Linked DNA regions of Saccharomyces cerevisiae S288C. The gene in region 2 interacts genetically with the main gene of each other region. Each region holds a gene or a part of one and is shown on either strand. Other genes may lie near its edges.

Evidence for each region. A genetic interaction does not mean that the proteins touch.
Region 1: mutations in YMR090W (region 2) and YHR210C together harm fitness more than expected from each alone (negative genetic interaction), as found in Saccharomyces cerevisiae (one large-scale study listed by BioGRID).

What each region holds. Positions count from the first base shown.
Region 1 is NC_001140.6:518,676-523,870, forward strand, and holds YHR210C (aldose 1-epimerase superfamily protein), read right to left. Parts: upstream 3,063-5,195; coding exon 2,037-3,062; downstream 1-2,036. Other genes in the region: branched-chain-amino-acid transaminase BAT1, read left to right, coding at 1-38; CRG1 (S-adenosylmethionine-dependent methyltransferase), read left to right, coding at 762-1,637.
Region 2 is NC_001145.3:446,311-452,089, forward strand, and holds YMR090W (uncharacterized protein), read left to right. Parts: upstream 1-2,934; coding exon 2,935-3,618; downstream 3,619-5,779. Other genes in the region: m-AAA protease subunit YTA12, read right to left, coding at 1-1,776; NPL6 (Npl6p), read right to left, coding at 3,748-5,055; AIP1 (Aip1p), read right to left, coding at 5,322-5,779.

The DNA.
Region 1 (5,195 bases), on a different chromosome or scaffold from region 2:
ATGGTAACTGGTCAAAAACTGTTGCCGACTTGAACTAATGATAATGAAGGTAAACATCCCCTCCCCCCCCAAAAAAAAAAAACGAGAATTCCTCTCAGAGGATCTGTTTTTCTCTCACTTTATTCACATAGATACATACTTTTTTACAATTCCTGTTGAGTTTATTTATTATAAGAAATATTGGATTACTATTATTATTATAGCTTATGCAAGCCATTGTGCGGCTTCTTACGCTTTTTGAAATTGTTGACCTAACAACTTGGCACATTATTGAATTTCATAGAGACTGCTTGTAATTTAGTTGCCAAGGTATCTCGCTGGACTTTACATGTAAAATGAATGCGGCAAGATACCCAAGAGAGTTGATTATGCCAAAAAAAAAAAATCTATAAGGATATCCCTGGTATTTTCTGAAGAATAAATTCTAGCGTAGTTCAGAAGAGGTGCAAGTACAGTATGAATAATGGTATGCCTTCCATCATCGTGGCATACAGGTTCAGGCATGAAGAGATGATTATGTTCCCTCACCGGTCCATAATCCTGATTTAAACAGTTCATTAGTATATGTTCAGCCAACACAACAACGAGAAGCTTTGTAGTGAAAGTTTTCCACGATCTATATTTAGCATTCTAATTAGCGGCCCCAAGGGAACGTATATAAACATAAACAAACGGCACGAACTAAAGGGGCAAATTCAAGTTAACCCTTTTACACTCAGTACATCTTCAAAGCCAGTCTTCTGTCAATGGAAGAATCCAGAATGCCTAAAACTAGTTATTTAAACAAAAATTTTGAATCTGCTCACTATAATAACGTACGTCCCTCTTACCCTTTATCTTTAGTCAATGAGATAATGAAATTTCACAAAGGCACACGCAAAAGTTTGGTTGATATTGGATGTGGCACAGGAAAAGCAACTTTTGTCGTTGAACCCTATTTTAAGGAAGTGATTGGGATTGATCCTTCTTCTGCTATGCTTTCGATTGCTGAGAAAGAAACAAATGAACGTAGATTAGATAAAAAGATTAGATTTATTAATGCGCCTGGTGAAGATTTATCCAGCATTCGACCAGAAAGTGTAGATATGGTTATTTCAGCAGAAGCCATCCATTGGTGCAATTTAGAAAGGCTGTTTCAGCAGGTTTCCTCTATATTACGAAGTGATGGAACTTTTGCATTCTGGTTTTATATTCAGCCGGAATTTGTGGACTTTCCCGAAGCCTTGAATGTATATTACAAATATGGATGGAGCAAGGATTATATGGGTAAATATCTGAACGACAACCAACGGGAAATTTTGTTGAATTACGGTGGTGAAAAGCTACGTTCTTTATTGTCAGATCGATTTGGAGATATTGAAGTCACAATTTACAGTCCTTCGGACCCAAATGCATCAACAGTAACGGCTGAAAACAGTCAGTTTCTCTGGAGAGCAGCTATTACTCTCAATCAATTTAAAGAGTTTGTGAAAAGCTGGAGCATATACACTTCTTGGGCTAGAGATAATCCCTCGAAACCGGATATTGCCGATATATTCATTAACGAGCTCAAAGAAATCTGTCATTGTGAAGATTTGAATGTACCTTTAAAAATAGAGTGGTCAACGTTTTATTACTTATGTAGGAAAAGAGAATGAGGTTTACTAAATTAAAAGAAATATATAAAAAGCTGATTTTTTTCTTTTTTTAAATATTTCCCAAATGCTAATAAATATTAAAATATGGCAAAAAGAAAATAAGGTGTTGTTGCGCAGTTGGGAGTAATTTAAAACCGTCAACATATGCTCTAAAAATTTTATTGGCTCTAAATTCCGACCTCTGAATGTAATTATGTTTTAAAGCGATACGTAAACTTGTTACTGTTAACATTAAAAGATAATGCAATCATGGTAACATAATAAAGTCTCAAAAAATTCTTAATATTAACTATAACATATGCACTTCAGAAAGCTGTTTCCGGATCATATCTCATTATAAAAAGCTCAATTTATAGAAAAATAATGCGACAGTGCAAAGTAAACAACTAAATTTGGTGCCTACACCGCAAAACGATATCGAGTCTTAGAAGTATATACCTCACCACGTCTCAAAAGAACGCAGTCTCTCCATCCATCACGGTTGATTGCGTCAACATATCTGCCTTGTTCAACGGCAAAGCCAGATCTCGGCGTAAATCCATCACACAAGTTGTCACCTGTGTAAAATAGGACAGTTGGTTCTGTTGTTGAAACCTCCAATGAAAGTCGTGATGCCGGATGATAAGCCTTGAAGGCAGGGACGAGCTTGTTTACACTTACTGAGTCTGTCGTTTTCAAATTCTTATTTTCATCAACAATGAAAGCGTAGTCATAAATCGGGCCATCATCCTGCAGAATGGTAGGTTTGGAGGAGTCAAAAGTAGCAATTTTTCTTTGAACGATTTTACCGGTTGGAATTAGTGCTCCTTCGCTTACTTCCAATGATTTATCTGAGCAGAGCCTAACCTCCGTACCGCTAATGGATTTTTTATCCATAGTTTTGTTTAAATTGAAGTACGTGTGATTCGTCATGTTGATGGGAGTAGCCTCACCGCTGACCAGTTTTGCCTCGTATTCCAAGTCCAAGGTCATGTCAGCAACGTTCAATGTGTACTTTAAGTTTACAGCTAGATCTCCCGGAAATTCATTGGGCAGTGTGCGGTCATCCAATAACGTAAATTCAACAATGTAAAGGTCATCAAGAGGATTTTGGACTTTGGATGCCTTATACTTCTTGAGATGGAAGGAGCTGATGCTACTGTGGTTGGTGTTTCCACAATTGTTCACTGTCAACTGATGAGGTCCATCTTCCATACTGAACATGCCCTTGTAAATACGATTTGCATAACGGCCAACAGTAGCACCAATGTAGTTGTAGCCATCTGATATATAGCCATGAATATCAGGGTATCCTAGAACAATCGATTCGTTGTTCACTTTCAAGTCAAGCAAAGTAGCGCCAAGCTCTGAAATTGTTGCTTGAAGCTTTTTTGCATCACCAATAGTGATGACTTCATATTCACCGCCAGCCTTATTATTTGACATTATCACTTTTTGGCTTTTTAGGTGAATTTACTTATTGCAGTAACATAATGTACAATTGAGTTCCAGTACTTCGTAGTACATTCTGATTTTATATCTCAGAGCATCCAAGGTGTTTACGCATGAATAACCAAACCATGGAGGAGTTACTTTTACCTTTTTTTAAGATATTCAGCTAGTAACTAATTGTCGGAAAAACTTAACAGGTACAAGGCCATATTATCACGTAACAAACCTAATTTTTGTACGATATTAGTGCCCGAGAATTTCTCCGTAGCGTAATTTTCTGCGAGAATTTCTGCGCAGTGCAAAGATATGCGACCTGACACTCTTTACGAAACTTTACCCCTCCCCCACCTCCACCTGCATTTATCCCGTCAAAAAGTGTCAATCACCTGGATGCATAAGGAGGAAAAATTATTCCAAGGATGTTGGACAACGCGAATTTTGGAAGTGACTTCTCATAAGCTTCTGATCTCTACTATATTCTTGTAATTTGGTGGGGTAGTGCAGGCTTACTGTGCGATGAGCAAATCCAGCGTATTGCTCACAGCGATAGGCCTTTGAAATGATATTGTTTGAATGCAAAACGCAGAAATGATATTCAACTTCATAATCTCATTAAACAAGATAGCATGCCAATAGAATTCCATTTTTTCCGATTCTTAGGCCATTTACAACCAAGTATCAACTTTCGTATAATTTTATTTCCATAATTATACGCAAATGCTGCAGTAGTTGCACATAGAATGATGATACGACCTAATAAAGGAAAAGGGGAATCTGTTCTGAGCTGAAAACTGATTCAAAACTCAATTTGGACACTCGGTTCGGGTGCTGGCCAGCAATAGTTTAGTGTTATCATGTCATAATCTTCCTCATAGGTTTCAATGTAATATCGATAATTACAAAGTAGTTCCTTTTCATTTAAATTTATATGCAAGAAGATAAGAGTTGATGTAGCAGTGCACCAGTTTTGCTTTACAATTCTTACAGTTTTATGAAAAATAATCTCCAATATGCCATGCTGAACTGGCATTCTTTTTGAGTGCAAAAGGAGGTTTTGGAAAAACAAAGTCTTCTTCTGCGTGTTACTCTGAAAATGTTGAAAAATAAGCTGAATGGGGCATTACATGTTTTCATCCAAACATGCCTTGTCAATAACGAGATTCGCGACGTATTCTTTTAGTATTCTGTTCCTTTTTTTTTTTGCTCCGCGCGCACTTGAACATCTTGCATATTTTTCTTTTCTGTTTTCATCCAGAGGTTGTGTTCTAGGACTTTCTGACGGAGGAATATCATCAAATCATCACAATAAGATCAATTGCATGGGTTCCAGCACTTAGCCAAATGTACAAATCTTGATATTTACCGGAGACCAACCCTTAGTTTGAAGTGTGCGCTACCAGGGAATCTTCTTCGGTCATTATTTTCTATCTTCACGATAATCGATCCTCCTCCTATACGTTAATATCGACTGATATCTAAATACATCGTTGAAGAACGGCGGAAAAATACTTATTTTCAGGTTGTCTTCGTTTTCACTCACGATAGCAATATGGATCCTTTCACAGCTCCTATCACCGCTGTAGTTTTTTATGACGCTTAATTTCCTGTTAATAAGTAAATAAGGTAAGTTGAAGGTCCTTCATACTGTGATCTGCAATAAACCACATGGCTACCGCACTTCTTGTCACTATCCTATGTGGAGAAAACCCAGAAAAAACTTTAAAGCGTGATTGAAATCAATAATTTGGCAAAGAACTAGAACCATACGCAAGAAAACCTTCCAACTTTGGCATTGTACGCAGAAATGAGACACGTTCAAAGCACAGGTCTTGAAATTTAAAAAAGTTTCTCAAAAGTTCTCCCAAACCTTCAATTTCTATTGGTATAACAGTATTCTAGGAAGAAAACAGGCGAAGAAAGTTTCTTTACTTTCTTCCTTTAATAGACTTTCATGAATATCAAATGCTGTTGTTTTCAACTAAATCAGACAAGCAAAGGCGATTGCTAAAAGTGAACATATGGAAAATATATGGAAAAAATCTAGAGGCAACAAACGTTCGGGTTTCCTTTTAACTCCGAGAAAGAAAAATCATTAGAACTTCGTGTTAATCCTAATAGAGTTCAAAT
Region 2 (5,779 bases):
GATGACTCTTTCGATAGCTTGTTCAAAATGATTCAATTTTACTGCATCTTCATCACTTCTAGCAGCAATCAAGGCGGCCTCGTTACAAACGTTGGCAATATCAGCACCAGAAAAGCCTGGCGTCAAAGCCGCTAATCTATTTTTCAAATCAAAAATTTCCCCGGCAAGTTTCAAATGATGTAAATGAACAGCAAAAATGGCTTTTCTACCCTCAAGTTCGGGCTTGTCGATATTGATATGCCTGTCAAATCTACCAGGCCTTAATAATGCTTTATCGAGAATATCGGGTCTATTGGTACCAGCTAAAACAACAACGTGGTCAGCTGGAGTGAAACCATCCATTTCTACTAACATTTGATTTAGCGTGTTCTCTCTCTCATCATTGGCACCTGAAAAATTACCCTTTTGTCTTGCTTTTCCTATAGCATCAATTTCGTCAATAAACACAATTGAGGGTGCATTTTCTCTTGCAGTTTTGAACAAATCTCTTACTCTTGCTGCACCAACACCAACAAACATTTCTACAAATTCTGAACCAGAAACAAAATAAAACGGAACACCGGCTTCACCTGCTGTTGCCTTTGCAAGCAAAGTTTTACCGGTACCTGGTGGACCAGATAGAATCGCACCTCTAGGAATTTTAGCTCCCATTTTTTCATAACGAGAAGGTTCTTTCAAGAAGCTAACAAACTCCATAATTTCTTCCTTAGCCTCATCGCATCCGGCAACGTCCTTGAACTTGATCTTAACGTCTGTTTCAGTGTTAAATTTTTTAGCCTTAGAACGACTCAGACCAAATATGCCTCCACGGCTACCGCCCGCTGCTTGTGCCGATCTTCTTGTCAACCAAATAATACCTGCAATCATTAAAACAGTTGGCAAAATTTGGAACATAGCTTTAGCCCAATTGCCTTCTTGAACATATAGTACAGGTATTCTGAAATCCTTATCAATGTCCAGTTCGTCCTGTGCTTTCTGAAGTTTGTGTTCGAAGCTATCAATTGAACCAATTGTGAAATAATAGAAGTTGCGACCGTAATTGTCGGCTTGGTTTTTTCCGTTGTCATTTAACATCACTTTCACCATGGACTTGTTGACAACAATCAACTTCGCAACATAACCTTTTGCCAATAGTTTCTCTCTAAAATCCTGCCACGTTATCTCACTTTGCTCTTCCAAACTGTTGAGGAGATCCAATAAAAACGAAAGGAGGAAAAAAGTTAGTCCTATCTGGAATAAGTTAACATTTTTCGATACAGGATTACTAGGATCATTTAGAGGTGGTTTTGGGGGAGGAGGTGGTGGTGGCGGTGGAATATTTCTGCTATTGTTACCTTCAAAGTAGCCCTGCTCTTTTGTTCTGTTTGACTTGGCTTTTGAAGGACCATTTTCCTCCTCTTTTTCCTTTCTTTCTTCTTGAATTCTGTTAGATTCTTGTTTCAATACAGCATCTTCTAAACGCCTAATACTTTCATCAATTTTGCGTTTCTGTTCTTTCCAGTTAGCCGGTATAGTATTATTTTTAGTTTGTTCGATATATTTTTCTACTTGTTTTCTTATTGCTTCAACCTCTTCGTCTGTGGGAATTTCTTTGTTAAGTTTAGCGTCTTCGTTATTGTCCTCGTTCTTGTTACCGCTCTTATTCTCTTGCAGCCTATTGAGTAGCCGATATTGAGTATGTAAACTCTTGATATGGGTCAAGCCGTAATAGGACCGGAAGCGAACGGGCCTTCTAACTACCTTAGTAGCAATTCTTGACCAAGAAAGTAGCAACATTAGTACTCTTTCTAACTTTAAAGTTGCTTGCCAAGACTCTTGAGTGTGCTATATTGTATTCGTTGGCAGCTCAAAATCTTTCCTTTAAAACTATAGTGGCAAAAGTTAGAGATCGTTTTCACGAGAAAATGATGGGGAAAAATGGACCAAAAGACAAATGTATTCACAATGTGACACCAGATAGCTTGGTGATTAGTATATAGATCTTACAGGACACCGAATAATACCAGAAGGGACTTTCTTATTGAACGAACCGATATGTGCATGCGTTATCCTATAAAGAAATACGTCCGGATGGGATATTCAAACAAGACGCCGGACAAAATAATTCACACATATGGAGGATGTTACGTACATGAGCACAAGACGAACCGTACAAAGAGAAACATACATCATCACTCAGACGATAAGATCATAAATTAGCAGATGACACTTTAGTTTATTCTCTTTGGTAGGTTTTCTACAATCAGAATTATCTAACGGCGAACTTCTGTAGGCAGAGTTTTCGCATCGCCCAATGAGATAATGCACTTTCAAAAGACCACGCTGCACTTGCATCAAATTGGTTTACGAAAGAGCAAAGTCGAGGATTAGCACATTCCGTGTGCCCATACGTTACCATTTTTGACAAAGTTGGCAACATCAAGCGAGACATATCTACAAATATACGTATCAGAATTGTACCCGAAGTATTTCTGGTTATATTCGTTGCTAACCATTTTAACGTATTCAGCCTAGTAGCCTGCAAGAACTATTAATACAAATCGTGAAACAGAAGTTCTTTGAGTTAAAGTACAAAGACAGACAACAGCCCTCGGTGAACCTGTTGGTGTGTGTTTCCTGTATCACAAAACACAAGCGAGCAAAGAAATACGACGTTATAGCTTTTAATAATACGACGAGACAATGTTAGTGGCCGTAATAACTTTCCAACAAAAGTACTTTCCAAACTTTGCTGTTACCTCTGTGATTGTTTAGTACGAAAATTGTATCGCGCTGTCAACAGCAAGGGGCTGCAAGTATTACGTAAGGGTACACTCGAAGTAGGGATATATATTTAAAGTCCCATCGTGACGCTCATAATAGGATACTTTCCCTCCAAATAAAAATTCATTGAAGTTATATCATCGGTATTCATATATTATTGACTTAACAGCCATGTCTCCTATGAAAGTTGCGGTTGTCGGTGCCAGTGGTAAAGTTGGACGTTTATTGATAAACCAATTGAAGGCCAACGATAGTTTCTCAACACCATTAGCGATTGTTAGAACACAGGATCAAGTCAATTATTTCAAGAATGAAGTAGGTGTTGATGCTAGTTTGACAGATATAGAAAACGCGTCCGTTAGTGAGATCACAGACGCTATTAAGGCTTATGATGCCGTGGTCTTTAGCGCCGGTGCGGGTGGTAAAGGAATGGAAAGAATTTTCACGGTTGATCTGGATGGCTGTATCAAAGTTGTTGAAGCATGCGAAAAGGCTGGTATCAAAAGGTTCGTTGTTGTTTCAGCGCTCAAGGCGGAGGATAGAGATTTTTGGTATAACATTAAGGGTTTGCGTGAATACTATATTGCAAAGAGATCTGCTGATCGTGAGGTTAGAAACTCTAATTTGGATTACACTATTTTACAGCCTGGATCGTTGGAACTAAATAAAGGTACCGGTCTTTTGCAACCCCTTGACAAATTAGAAGAGAAGGCTTCTGTTAACTACTCCATTAACAGGGAGGATGTAGCTTCTTTTATTGTGGAAAGCTTGCTACATCCAAATGCAACAGTGAAAAAAACCATTTCGTTGGTAAATGGCAACGAGCCAATGGAAAAATTCATTCAAAGTTTGTAGATCAACCTATTTACGCGTGAAATGCATATGTAGATGAATAGTCAAGAAAAGAAAAAGAAAGTGAGAATATATGAATTTTTTTACCTTGATTTGAAGATAAAAATTTGTTATATTGTTACATTGAGTATACTAAATATATTCGTTGCATTTTTCGAAATTTTGTTGTTCGGTGATAGCCCTTAAAACGTCTTCATCAACAACGTCTTCATAGATCTCTTTCGGGATTTCCGACAGTCCCGTTTTCGGTTTATTCAAATCGTTATCGTGTATAACGGTCTCATACACAATGCTTGTGTCGCTGGGACTATCGTTTTTTGATCTCCTCCATCCTAAAACAGTGGTTGACTGTGTGGATTCTGGTATGTGTAATATATTTGTGTATGCATCTCTCAAGCCTTGTTGATCTACAAGAAGAACCTTCACTCTATCATAAAACAAATCGCTATTAAATCTACTACACGCAGCAGAATGCTGATAGAGCCAATTTGTAGAGCTCAGCTTACTACCTGATGCAATAATATTAGAATTACTCATGTGACCATGTGGCCTGTGTTCAAAGAATTCCACCTGGTTTTTTGCAGGGTTTATGCCATTCTCGGAAGCAGGATACATCATGGTTTCTAAGGCCCTTGCGGATTTATCAATAGGATCACCAGCAAGTTTTCCTTCAATTACATTTCCCTTTGTTCTTAATTCAGAAGCATAATAATCATCGGTTATATGTTTGCCGCCACGAATGATTTTAGCACCAAATTCTTTAAACACGCCTCTAGCGGTGACTAGAGCGATTTGTCTATTTCTATATGAATAAGGTAAAACGCCACGGTCTATCAAGTCGTTCTTTTGAGTTTGATTCAGAATGAACTTATAAAGGTTGGGGTGAGTTTGAAAAAATAAATATGAATCTCTAAAACCCACTATCCTAGCCGGTTCGGTGGCCAGCATAAACTTTCGATTCCCCTTCTCAGTTAATGTGAAGGTGCGCACTAAAAATTCTCTGCCTCCTAATAGATCACCATCTGCAGTTATCTTCGTCTCACCTTCAGGATCATCTGGTAGAACATATTCTTCATTGACCACTTTCAAAGGATTTAAGTTCTCCTCAGCATCATCGATTCCGGGAAATACTGGTTTTTTGAACTTTGAACGGTTTCTAGATCTAGTAACGCCTTTATCCTCTGACAAATCCTCTTCTTCGTCCACGTGCCTCCTTTTGTTTCTTCCGCTTTTATTTATCTGTTCCTCCTCATCACTTATTTCTTCTTCATTCACTCCCTCATTGGCTTCTTCTTCTCTGTAATCATCATCTTCATTCTCATCATTTTCATCAATATCTAAATCCTCAGTATCAATTGCATAATTGGGTCTGTTGCTAGTAGATCTTGACCGCTTCTCATGTTCAACTTCGGAAGCTAGACCTCCCTCTGAATCTGACATTTCTGCTAGATGGTATTTCCTTCTTCAAAAGTAAATGTACTGTATTCAGTAATGCTTAAACTTTATAAAGCTGTTTTCTTGCAATATTTTTGTCTGCTCACAGTAACATGTTTAATAGTTCGAACGGGTTTTTTTTTAAAAGAGCGAAGTAATCAAAGCATTCGGGTAATAATTACAAGTTTATATGGACTGTGGTAAAAACAGTGTAAAACTTTTTTATATCTATTTTTCTAAGGTTACGTAATTGTTTACTTTATATTCTTATCTCACTCGAGGACAACATTCCACCTTTTAATGCAAGCGTCCGCACCAGAACTAACCAAGGTAGATGGTGTTTCCCATAAAAGGTTGTTAACACCGTCCTTGTGAGCATTCAACGCCTTAATGATTTTCATAGGTCTTTTGACGGAGTAAATAAAAATATTGGTGTCTAAAGAACCAGTGGCAACTAAGTCCTCTTCAATTTCCTCTTCGTTTGCTCCCTTTTCAGCAGGTTTCCATGAAATGGCGTTGATTTTACTGGTGTGGAAAGCCCATCTTGAAGTTTTCACTTCTCTTGATTGTAAATCATATAGCAATATCTTGCCCATAACATCTCCAGCAGCGATGTATGTTTCAGATGGCGAAATTGATATGTACGAGGGTTTTGCGCGAAGAGGTGTTTTTAAATCAAAACTGACTTCCAAATCTGATAATTTGAATACCTGAATAGTATTACCTTCTT